2 linked regions of the Xenopus tropicalis genome follow. The protein of the gene in region 1 purifies or fractionates together with the protein of each later gene. This does not show direct contact. Links are inferred from orthologs where the notes say so. Each region holds a gene or a part of one and is shown on either strand. Other genes may lie near its edges.

Region 1 (5,950 bases):
AAAATTAAAAATGTGTCAGCCTTATATAACCACCAGGAAATAAATAAAATAAATCATTAAAAATGTAAGATAGATACGAATATGCAAATGACAGATTTATTTACTTTGCTACTAACCATTGAAAATGTAGGCAGTATTAAGTGCTAGTTGGTTTTGGTTTAATACATTGAAGTAAAATGTTGCTCTGTCTCGCACCTCATCATCACTGTCCATCATGCACCTGGAAGGCAGGCAGAATACAATGCTAATATTTAGCAATATTTTCCAAAATGTTAAACAAAGATGCTGGCTAACTGTATTTTGGAATCTATCAGTGATCACATGCTTAAATGATCTTTACAGAATACGAAGTTTAGGCATATTCTTAGAGGGATCCATGGAAATTTGAAAAGCAGGAAGAGCAACAATCACATCATGATTATTTTATTTTGCTTTATTATAGTTACAGGCACAGTAACACTAGAATTTTCTGTTAAAAATGCATTTCTAACCCATACCACAATAGCTCTATGTGCACCAAGTACATTAGGTGAAATTACTTATTATATATACCTTCAATCTGGCCCAGTACAATTTGTCTTATAATATGAACAATTCAAAATGCTAGCGTATACCATGTCCCAAAATGCACTACCTTTGAAGAAGTACCAAAACACTTGGTAGAAGAGGTTCGTTTTGGGCACCAAATTTAGCCAAAGCACTGACCGCCGCTATAAGGAAAAAAATAAAAACAAGAGATCATTAGCAAAGCTACGTACACCATCATATTGCTGTAAGGCAGTGATCCCCAACTAGTGACTGGGGGGCAACATGTTGCTCCCAGTGGCCTCAAAGTAGGTGTCCATTTTTACATTTCTGGCTTGAAGACAAGTTTTGGAAGCACAGAGACACTTCTCTGTTTTACTCAAAGCAGAGCCTCTTGCAGACCAGCAGTCCACATGGGGCTACCAAATAACCACAGTCCTTATTTAAAATCCCCAAAGAGCTTTTTTCAAGCTTGTGTGGCTCACCAACACCTTTTACATCTGAGTGTGGCTCAGAAGTTTGGGAAAATGGAACTTCAATAGTTAAAGGTTAACATTAAAAATAAGTGCCTCGGTTTACAAATAATAAATGTAAAGCAGCCTTCAGTAATCTAGATGTTAACGATTCAAATTACCCCAAACCCTACTGCACTGGAGTTCTGGAGGTATATCTCTGCAACATCCTAATAAGTAGTTTAAGTTTACTATAGCCGTAGTTTAAGTGTAATATAGCTACTATTAAGTTATGTTTACTAATAAATAATTGAGGTTATTACTTAAGCAAAGAAAAAAGGAAGAAAGAAAAAATAATGGTGGTATTCTTACCTGCTCTGACGGCTTCATTCTCTAATACCACCCTGTTAAAGATGAAACGAATGTACTTGGAGGGTGTGGGTGTTTTTGGCCCTTCTCTTCCCAAAAGATGCAGAATCTTGGTAGCCAGAACTGTGTGCTCACAGTCCTCAATAAATTCACACAGGTGAGCAAGGCCAGATTCTTTGCTGTCTGGGTTCTCTTCTATGATGCTAATAATGCAGTCCACAATGGCACGCTTGTATTCAAAACCTCCCTGCATATGAGAGTGTGTGTAGTTTAGCATACTTGAGCATTTTGAGCTAGGAACAAGACACTATTTAAACAGAAAATTAATTATCTTATGGCCATTTACTAATTTTTTTTTTAAAGAGAACTAGTTCTACTGGCAAGAATTGCCAAGTAAATCTATGACTAACAATTAACACCCCAAATCACCTATGGATAGACAAGAGGTAGTAATGTGTCTATTTATGCCCGTGCATGTATTAGAACCCAACAATCCCAACAAATATCCATGTGCTATGGATGTTGGTCAGATACTTGGTTGCGCATGTTTGTAAACAGGCTGGGCTGAACAGTGTATGGCCTCATTTACTATGAAGCGAAATACACTGCTCAAAAAAAATAAAGGGAACAGAAAAATAAGACATCCTAGATCTGAATGAAATATTCTTATTAAATACTTCGTTCTTTATCTAGTTGAATGTGCTGACAACAAAATTATCAATGGAAATCAAATTTATCAACCAATGGAGGTCTGGATTTGGAGTCACTCTCAAAATTAAAGTGGAAAAAAACGCTACAGGCTGATCCAACTTTGATGTAATGTCCTTAAAACAAGTCAAAATGAGGCTCAGTAGTGTGTGTGGCCTCCGTGTGCCTATATGACCTTCCTACAACGCCTGGGCATGATGAGGTGGCGGATGGTCTCCTGAGGGATCCCCTCCCAGACCTGGTCTAAAGCATCCACCAACTCCTGGACAGTCTGTGGTGCAACGTGGCATTGGTGGATGGAGGGAGACATGATATCCCAGATGTGCTCAATTGGATTCAGGTCTGGGGAACAGTAGGGCCAGTCCATAGCATCAATGCCTTCATCTTGCAGGAACTGCTGACACACTCCAGCCACATGAGGTCTAGCACTGTCTTGCATCAGGAGGAACCCAGGGCCAACCGCACCAGCATATTGGTCTCACAAAGGGTCTGAGGATCTCACCTCACTACCTAATGGCAGTCAGGCTACCTCTGGCGAGCACATGGAGGGCTATGCTGCCCCCACAAAGAAATGCCACCCTACACCATTACTGACCCACTGCCAAACCAGTCATGCTGGAGGATGTTGCAGGCAGCAAAATGTTCTCCACGGTGTCTCCAGACTCTGTCACGTCTGTCACATGTGCTCAGTGTGAACCTGCTTTCATCTGTGAAGAGCACAGGGCGCCAGTGGCGAATTTGCCAATCTTGGTGTTCTCTGGCAAATGCCAAACGTCTTGCACAGTGTTGGGTTGTAAGCACAACCCCTACCTGTGAACGTCGGGCCCTCATACCACCCTCAAGGAGTCTGTTTCTGACCGTTTGAGCAGACACATGCACATTTGTGGCCCTCTGGAGGTCATTTTGCAGGGCTCTGGCAGTGCTCCTCCTGTTCCTCCTTGCACAAAGGTGGAGGTAGCGGTCCTGCTGCTGGGTTGTTGCCTTCCTATAGCCTCCTCCACGTCTCCTGATGTACTGGCCTGTCTCCTGGTAGCGCCTCCATGCTCTGGACACTATGCCGACAGACACAGCAAGCCTTCTTGCCACAGCTCGCATTGATGTGCCATCCTGGATGAGCTGCACTACCTGAGCCATTAGTGTGGGTTGTAGACTCTGTCTCATGCTACCACTAGAGTGAAAGCACCACCAGCATTCAAAAGTCATTGAAACATCAGCCAGAAAGCATAAGAACTGAGAAGTGGTCTGTGGTCACCACCTGCAGAACCACTCCTTTATTGGGGATGTCTTGCTAATTGCCTATAATTTCCACCTGTTGTCTATTACATTTGCACAACAGCATGTGAAATTAATTGTCAATCAGTGTTGCTACCTAAGTGGACAGTTTGATTTCACAAAAGTGTGACTGACTTGGAGTTACATTTTGTTGTTTAAGTGTTCCCTTTATTTTTTTGAGCAGTGTATATACAGTATGTTTATAATATATTGTGGGCTATTCTACTTCTAAGAACACCAAAGGGTTTTGTTAACTATTGTTAACTAGTTTACAAGCAGTGCTCGTAGGTACCACTTGTAAAAAGTTAATAGTAGTTAATAAAGCCCCTTAGATTTAATAAATTATTTTCCTCTTTGAAACAATTGCCTAGATCATAAAACCCTTGTGCAAATCGCAGATGGAGAGCAACAATTTAGACAATTATTCCAACATGGACCAGTGCTGTGTACAAACACCCATTGAAAATTCCTGTGTTTGACTGCTCATACGAGACACAAATTGGCACATCAATATACTTTGATTAATGTATAAATCCAGAAATCTTTTCTTGAGTCAGAAAAGTACTGTTAAATTGCAGAAAAGGTCACAGCAGAGAAACCCATTTTTAGTCTATAAACTAGTCAGAGGTCCAAACTGTCTGAATTGATCACACACTGCATATACCATCAGATCCTTTTTGTTTACTTGAAATATGATTTCTGACCAGAATTTTCAACCCAGCCAAACTATAGCATTCAATAAGTTATCAATTCATCAGTTTGCCAGGCCTCCAGTGACCTAGCCAACTGACATATGCTCTGATCTGTGCATTTATCTGTCTATTAGGCCATCTATATGAAGTTAAATTGGTACTGGATTGGTCACATAGGGGATTTTATACAATATATGCCACCCTTAGTACAGAGAATTTTAATATCAGTAATTAACAATGAAATGAAAGTATTTTGAAAATATACAAATATAAAATCATATGTACATAATCCATATTTACAATTCTGCATCATTATAACACACATAATATCAATCTATTTGGCATATCAGGGTAACACCAACAGAGGATACTTTGGGTACTATAAGCATTACGACTTTAAGCAACCCCAAAAAATGCCTTGCCAAACTGCCCAACCCTATGGATGAAAATGGATAGTTATCAGATTAAAAGCACTCCATATGCCATTACCCATTATCTTCAGGTAAAAATGGACACCAGTCCTTCAAGGTTAACCTTACATGGGCCCCTAATAATACTGATTATTAGAAAGATAAAACCCCTTGAGAGTTATATCCCAACTCAGCCACAAATTGAGAAAATAAATGCCAAACTCATTCAATTCTGCATCTTGCCTTACCCTACCAAAAGTGGCATGTTAAACATTAAAACATGAGGTAGGAAGACAAGATTTACTACAATTAATAAATTAACATTAAAAAAACATGTGCACATGTGTACTTACGTCATCCCTGAGCATGTTGGAAAGGAACGTCATCATTACGCTGTGCTTGCGTGGGTACTTCTGACATAAGGCACTGATTGCTTGTACAACTACCACCTGCAATTATATAGTGCAATCAGTACGTATGGCAAAATGTTATCAACAGAGTGTACTGTCAAGCATCCTCTAGCAAATATTTTACATTTTTCATAAATATGGAAAAATATGATCTGCTGGGAAAATGCCTTCCCTACAGCACTCCAAGTGGTTATTCACAGAAGGGGATGTTGCAGCTGTTTTCTATGGAAAAAGTTCAGATATTACTTGGGGGAGGCAAATTTTGTCAATTTAAAAGGAAGTCCCACTTAAGAAATGGGCATATTTTTGTTTATTTTTGAAAAAAAAATAACATTTTATACATGTATATTTTTTTATTGTCAAAAGATCAGAGTGCAGAACAGTCTTACTTTAAACTCATCTGAGATCTCAGAGACAAAGGTGGAGATTTGTTTCATTAGTCGATCAACACTGCTTTCGCTGCCGGTTTTCAGCAGTGTTGTGATGGCCAGCGTGGCAATACTGCGGTTGGAATCTGTGATCAAATTTTCAAGGTCTAGGTTACATGCAGTAACTGCAGATGGATGTTTCATTGCAACCTATTAAAAGGAAAACTTTGTTTAAAATTATACAATTGCAAAAATCAGAGACAAACTACCTTTTTTTTTTTATAGTATGTCCTCAATAGGATAATATGCATGATTCCAAGTTAATACATGTGGAAGTTTATCTGTAAGTAGAGATATATATACAAAAGAACCCCAATGTTACATCTCCCGCAATTGATGCTGTCCCATTCACGCAAGTTGCATTTTTTTCCCCCCCAAGATTTACGGTTTTCCCAGAATTTACGCCAATTTGGTGCAGTCCAGGAAAACATAAAATCTGTGTTTTTCTGTATATATTGAACAACTGCAAATGATTCACACTCACTGGACTCTTCCATATCCAAAATCTTTTTACTCTAACATCAACGTTTTGGAAATATTAATCTTAAGTAAAGAGCTTCTGGATATAGAAGATTCCAGTGCGTGCAAAATCATTTGCAACTGCTTTTTTTCTGATTTGCACCCTTGCAAATACTGAAGAATCTCAAGTGCCTGATTCTGTGGAGTTAAAGTGATGCTGACACC
Region 2 (6,569 bases), on another chromosome or scaffold:
TAGTATATACTAAGTCTTCCTACTCCTTTGATAAGGAATCCAGTCAAGGAACTGTCTAATATACATGCCTAATTGATTTCCATTGGAGGCAGAAAGCAAGAAGGCAGAACTTAATGCCCATGCTAGATATGTTAAGGGACTTTAAAATAAAAGGACTACTTATTCTATTAAGACGTTTAGAATTTACAACAGTGCATGTGGCCACTCTACATGACTGAACATGGGGAGTAGTTGTACCTGAGTTTCTTTTGCGCTCACTAGAGAGAAATTTAAAATATTCATTTTAGACTGGTATAACTTAGCACTATAATCCAAGTATTATCAAGAATATACATTTGCTTCAGAATGTATATCTAAAATACCTACATTTAAAGGAGAAAAAAGGTAAAACTACTGGGGAGTGGCAAGTTGCCTATTACCCTGAGTGAGTGTATGTGTAGTACAGAAATTCTTTGTTGACTGGGGAAAAAAAAAAAAAACAAAACACTCCACAGTGGTTTTAATCTTTCCTTCTCTTTTAGATATCTTTTATCATTTCACTAAGGGAGGGCTACATTTTTTCTTTGAATTGTGACAGATCAACTATTTGTTACAGACCTATCCTTTCTAGAAAAGCTGTGAACCTATAGTATGTATGATAAAAACTAAACTAGTTCATTAATTAGTCTTCAACAGTCTGTTATCCTAAATTTATAATATAGTCTATCCATCAATATTTCGAGATATCTCTGCAGCTGATTTTAATTTATTCATTTTTGTTTCTGAATTACTTAATATTTTATTCTTTAGCTCTCGATTTTGGAATTTTAGCTTTTATCTCATTATTAAGTTACCACTTAAAGTGCCTATAGAAAGAAACACTTGCTACCAACTATTCCACTTCTGAGCAAGTCAGCAGCCCAACTGGCCCGTGTTTAGGTCAAAAATATTGCCTTTCCAGATCAAAATCTGATTAAAGGACAAGGAAAGGCTGAGTCACTTGGGGGTGCCAAAATGTTAGGCACCCCCAAGTGACTTTAATTGCTTACCTTGTACCCCGGGCTGGTGCCCCTGTTAGGAGAAAACAGCACCAGCCCGGGGTACCTGTAGCGAGCGGTTCCTCCTTCCTTTTGCCGGGACCCCACGACCGGCGCATGCGCAGTAGATTAAAAATTCAACTTCTCTGTTAAAGTTCAGCTTTTTCACTCGACTGCTCATGCACAAACACGCGAAGCAGGAAGCGCTGCAGCTACCCCGGGCTGGTGCTGTTCTCCCCGAACAGGGGCACCAGCCCGGGGTAAAAGGTAGGCGATTTAAGTCACTTGGGGGTGCCTAACATTTTGGCACCCCCAAGTGACTTTGCCTTTCCTTGTCCTTTAAGCTTGGTCAGATATAATACCCAGATTTCTCATTTACTTACTACACTGATAAATCTAATAGTCAGTTATACAGCACAACCCATTAGGGGAGCCTACGGTAGTGTATGAAAGTTAAAAGCAGATGTATCAACACTTGCAGAAGGCACATACTGAAAAAAGTGTCCTCCACTCAAAAAAATAATCATTAAGAAGAAAAGTCACATAACTTATCCTGATGCATCAAGCTAAGCTGATGTAATGTTTCTTCTAATTAGTAAATTAAGTTTATATGAGCCTGGCCTATGATATAGATTTTTGTTCTTGCCCTCTACAAGTTTGGTATATGCCCTCCCCAATCTGAAGACTCTGAAAAGCCAACCTGTTTACTATTTGTGGTTGGATCTCCCCTAAAAGTTTTAGGGAATGATTTAATAAAATTTTTTTTTTTTCTGGACTTGAAAGTAGTATAAACTCGACATGGTTTAAATTCTAATTAAACTCGAATTAAACTTGATCATTGTTGTATTTATAAAATGGGAGTTATTTTCGACAAACTCAAATTTATCAGGGAAAATTTCTGAAAAACTAGAATTTTTCGAGAAACAATATCAGAAAAATCGAGCACTGGCAAAAACCCATTCGTAAATCTCAACAGAAGTAAAAAAAAAAAAAACAAAAATCAACTGTTTCTTAAAATGTCTTAGTAAATGTGCCCCCTAAAGTTAATATATTTATAGGGAGTGCAATGGTTCTAGACCTCATTTCTTGAAACCCAAATGATCACATCTGGTAACCGTTTTAGTTGTATAGGGTCAAGCGAGTTTCTGGTAGTAGCCATATGCCAGTTGTTCTGGTGAGAGCCACAGAGTGGGACAATATAACGGAGAGGCATAGGGCCAGATTTATCAAAATGGGAGTTCAAAGATTTATACATAAAAATTCACCCATGTTCTTTTCATTCCTATGGGATTTTTAGAAGCATATTTATCAAAAGGTGAGTTCTAACTTTAGCCCATTGATAAATATGCTTCTAAAAATCCCATAGGAATGAATAAAAAGTGAATTTTTCTGTAGTGAGCTCTAATCTCAAATTTTGATAAATCTGCCCCCTGGAGATGTAGAATGCACATACCTGCGACTCTCATTGGACAGATACTCTGCAAACATTCGGACAGCCTGTAATTCAGGGTTGGTATTTGGCCGAATTTCATCAAGAACAACCCCATACTTGCGCTGCATGTGGAAAATAAAAGGTCATAAGACCAGGAAGAAATAAGAAGCTTCTTTTACTTAGTTATAAGTGCAGGAGGAAATAAAAAGCTTATTTTACTTATAGGTATAAGTGCAGGAGGAAATAAAAAGCTTATTTTACTTATAGGTATAAGTGCAGGAGGAAATAAAAAGCTTCTTTTACTTATAGGTATACGTGCAGGAGGAAATAAAAAGCCTTTTTTACTTATAGGTATAAGTGCAGGAGGAAATAAAAAGCTTCTTTTACTTATAGGTATACGTGCAGGAGGAAATAAAAAGCCTTTTTTACTTATAGGTATAAGTGCAGGAGGAAACAGAAAGCTTTTTTTACTTATAGGTATAAGTGCAGGAGGAAATAAAAAGCTTCTTTTACTTATAGGTATAAGTGCAGGAGGAAATAAAAAGCTTCTTTTACTTATAGGTATAAGTGCAGGAGGAAATAAAAAGCTTCTTTTACTTATAGGTATAAGTGCAGGAGGAAACAGAAAGCTTTTTTTACTTATAGGTATAAGTGCAGGAGGAAATAAAAAGCTTTTTTTACTTATAGGTATAAGTGCAGGAGGAAATAAAAAGCTTCTTTTACTTATAGGTATAAGTGCAGGAGGAAATAAAAAGCTTCTTTTACTTATAGGTATAAGTGCAGGAGGAAATAAAAAGCTTCTTTTACTTATAGGTATACGTGCAGGAGGAAAAAAGGCTACATTCACAATACTAATGACAGCTGGGTGAGAATAATGTATGATTATAATACAGAGTCTCTCTCACCTGGGCTATATATGCTCTGAACAGGAAAACGTCTCTCTCCACCTCCTTCTCTGGACTTGAAGGCTGTAAAATAAAATATTCCCACGTTACTATTTGATTATCCATCTTACCTCAGATTGTTAGCATGAGAAAAATAATAGATGTTATTGTGCCTGATTCAGTCATGCATGCTGTCGTTATATTTGTTCAATACGTATGCCCAATTTAAAAAGATTGCTGCTATGTCCACTATCCATATCCCTTCAGCCATAACTCCACGCCTCTCTGACCCAGTTTGCTGTAATCGTTAAATCACCTTTACTCTTTGCGCCTCATTAATGCACTGCTGGTAACTTCCAATATAGAAAGAATTCTTCACATCAAATAACTCGTCCACCTCTCCCTGTGCAGCCATTTCTGTATATCCCGGACACGTCAGCCGGCCAGCTTCCACAACTTCCGCCTTCCTTTACCGACTTCCGCCTCTCAGCTAAAGGCATGGCGGGAGATGTAGTACCAAAGGTCAGTTCCCGTAAGGACCAATAGAAGGGCGAGTTGTGTGACGCATTAGTTTGTGCGCCGGAATGTGCTGCTAGTGGCTATCACGCGTGTCAAGATGGAAGGGTTTTCGAGGCTTGGGTTGTCTTCCTGGCTTATCGATCAATGTAGCCAACTGGGCATATTGAAACCTAGTCCTGTACAGGAGAATTGCATCCCGCCCATCCTGGAAGGTGAGATTAGTGAATGCGAATATGATTCTTCGCGATTAAGGGGGCAGATTATCTGAGTTGTCCAGGGTGAGCAAGTCATCTACATAAGTGTTACAAATCATCTGAAAAACCAGTGATCAAAAGGTAAATGGCATAACTATATGTTAAAGGAAAGCAGCGCTAAATTTGCGGGAACCCTAACATTTAGGAGTAAGATTTAATTTAAATGTATTAATCTTCTTTTTTGTCACTGTCCCACTGGTCCCCTTTTACCTTCTGGCCCCCCGGCAGTCTCTTGAAGCGTCAGTTTCCTCCATAGTTACATTCCTATTTATAAATATATTGTGCACAGTTTTGCTTGTACCTAAGTTCGATTCATAATAATTGCATTCATCTAAAGGACATGTAAACCCCACACACAAAAATTTAATCAGTGAACAGCCTCTTTGAAATCTTTCAATACCTGCCACTCTGCTTGTCCAGAGGTTAATAGTAAGGCTGCAACATCCCCTTAATCACTTAGATTTCCTTCTCCTCCTGTAACCCACTCGCCCCCCCCCCCTTGGGAATTTGCTTTGATTCCTGCCTTGCCAGACATGCTCAGTTGTACTAAACTCAGATTACAAAATACGCCCTCCAGTCTAGCAGCCAGTGAAGAGATGGCATTGCTGGTTCCCATAGAAACTCAGCTCTAGCTGTCTGCTTCAATTTTTTCTCCTAACTTTCTCTCCTGAGCTCAGCTCAAACAAAGCAGAACGTTTATCAGACAGTTCTGCCTCTGTGAGCCTGTATTATTGATGAAATGTATGCTGAATAAGGGTCTGCGTGTGTATGCTGTTTGCAGATTTAAATGTATCTGATTATGTATCAGAGGAAAAAAGCCACCTGGTAAAAGGTCAACTATCCATTAACATCTGCACAGAAAATGTATTGTATTTTGTTGAGAACTCATGAAGTTGATGTCCTGTTAGGCCGAGACTGCATGGGATGTGCAAAGACTGGCAGTGGAAAAACAGCTGCCTTTGTGCTGCCTATTCTCCAAAAACTCTCTGAGGATCCCTTTGGAATATTTTGCCTGGTTCTGACACCAACTCGGTGAGTACAGATGCTATTATAATAGTTATTGTATAATTTTCTCATTAAAGAGAAAAAAAGTAATATTGTGGTAGAGCAAAAATTATGGTCTTTCCCTACAATGAACAACAGATGACTTCACAGTTTAGCTTCAGATATTTTACATGATTTTTTTTAGTAGACAAAGTAATATCTAATAATAATGATATGTAGCCCCTGTTAACCTTTGTAAGGTTTTACAGGTCTTTAACACAGGGATACTGAGACATAAAGGCATAGATTTCAAAGAGGGAGGAAAACATTGTAGAAAGATTCTTAAGAAAAAAAAATCTACACATGTATGTATGTATATATTGTTGCTTTGTGAATAATTCTTAACATCCAGTGCACAGCTATAGCCAGTTGTCATTCGTGCATAATCTAAACATAAGTTGCCGGTCTTTAAATTTAGCTTTATCTTCCTCTAGCAAATGTTTGAAATGGATTACAAATGTCAAGTATATTTAGAAAATACAGACTAATTTGTCGTCAGATTAAAACTGTGGTCACTTGTAGACAAATATGTTAAAGATAGAGATCTTTACGAGACCAAAAAAGAGAAACATTTACCAGCAATATTTTTTATATTTCTCTTTATAAGATTTTTTTTTTAAATTTTATTCTCAGAGAACTCGCATATCAGATTGCAGAACAATTTCGGGTCCTAGGGAAGCCACTGGGCTTGAAGGATTGCATTATTGTTGGTGGAATGGGTATGTATCCTGGCTTATCCAGTTGTAGCAAATGTATGAAATATGGTAATGTCTTTACATAAGGTCCAAGAAGGAACTGATCCATAAAAGTAAACTATATAACTGTAGTAGCTAGGGATGCACCAAACCCACTGTTTTGGCTCTGACCGAACCCACCCTGACAGATTCTGCCTAATCCCAAACTGAATCTGAATCCTAATTAGCATTGGGAAGGGTTAAAAGTTGGTACACGCTACAATTTGGCGTGCCCCTACCGTTTAACCCTTTCCGAATGCTAATTTGCACCTACTATTGAGGGAGCAGAATCCAGCCTTTTTTTGATGATTCGGTTTCAGCCGATTCCATGGTCCCGGACGTACCGAATCCAAACTAGCTAGTTCGGATTCGTTACGTCCGGGACCGTGGAATCGGCTGAAACGGAATCATCAAAAAAAGGCTGGATTCTGGTCCCTCAATAGTAGGTGAGACACACCTCTGTGCATTTTGCATCCATTATACATACCACAAATACTGTAAACATATATCACAATTTAGCAATGATTTTGTATGCATGTTGTTTGGGTTTTAGCATAAGTACAGGAAGCCAGAGTGACATTTTTTAATGTTCAGCAGAATATGGATTAGATAATCTAAATGGCTGTTACTTCCGTGAGAACACTGCTTTTGTTCTAAATCTGTCTTTTTCCTTTAAAAGGGTACAG

What was found. The genes of interacting proteins can lie anywhere in the genome.
Region 2: the proteins of copg2 (region 1) and cope purify together in Homo sapiens (affinity purification with mass spectrometry; 5 studies listed by BioGRID and IntAct, with this or other methods). This does not show direct contact. The link is inferred for Xenopus tropicalis from reciprocal best matches to the Homo sapiens genes COPG2 and COPE.

Annotation. Positions count from the first base shown.
Region 1 is NC_030679.2:86,707,797-86,713,746, reverse strand, and holds part of copg2 (coatomer subunit gamma-2), read right to left. Parts: intron 5,417-5,950; coding exon 5,228-5,416; intron 4,878-5,227; coding exon 4,782-4,877; intron 1,594-4,781; coding exon 1,350-1,593; intron 711-1,349; coding exon 635-710; intron 221-634; coding exon 117-220; intron 1-116. UniProt on the Homo sapiens protein: The coatomer is a cytosolic protein complex that binds to dilysine motifs and reversibly associates with Golgi non-clathrin-coated vesicles, which further mediate biosynthetic protein transport from the ER, via the Golgi up to the trans Golgi network.
Region 2 is NC_030677.2:112,614,122-112,620,690, forward strand, and holds the start of cope (coatomer subunit epsilon), read right to left. Parts: upstream 3,790-6,569; 5' UTR 3,748-3,789; coding exon 3,649-3,747; intron 3,417-3,648; coding exon 3,354-3,416; intron 2,571-3,353; coding exon 2,470-2,570; intron 1-2,469. Other genes in the region: probable ATP-dependent RNA helicase DDX49, read left to right, coding at 3,949-4,063, 5,014-5,137, 5,783-5,868. UniProt on the Homo sapiens protein: The coatomer is a cytosolic protein complex that binds to dilysine motifs and reversibly associates with Golgi non-clathrin-coated vesicles, which further mediate biosynthetic protein transport from the ER, via the Golgi up to the trans Golgi network.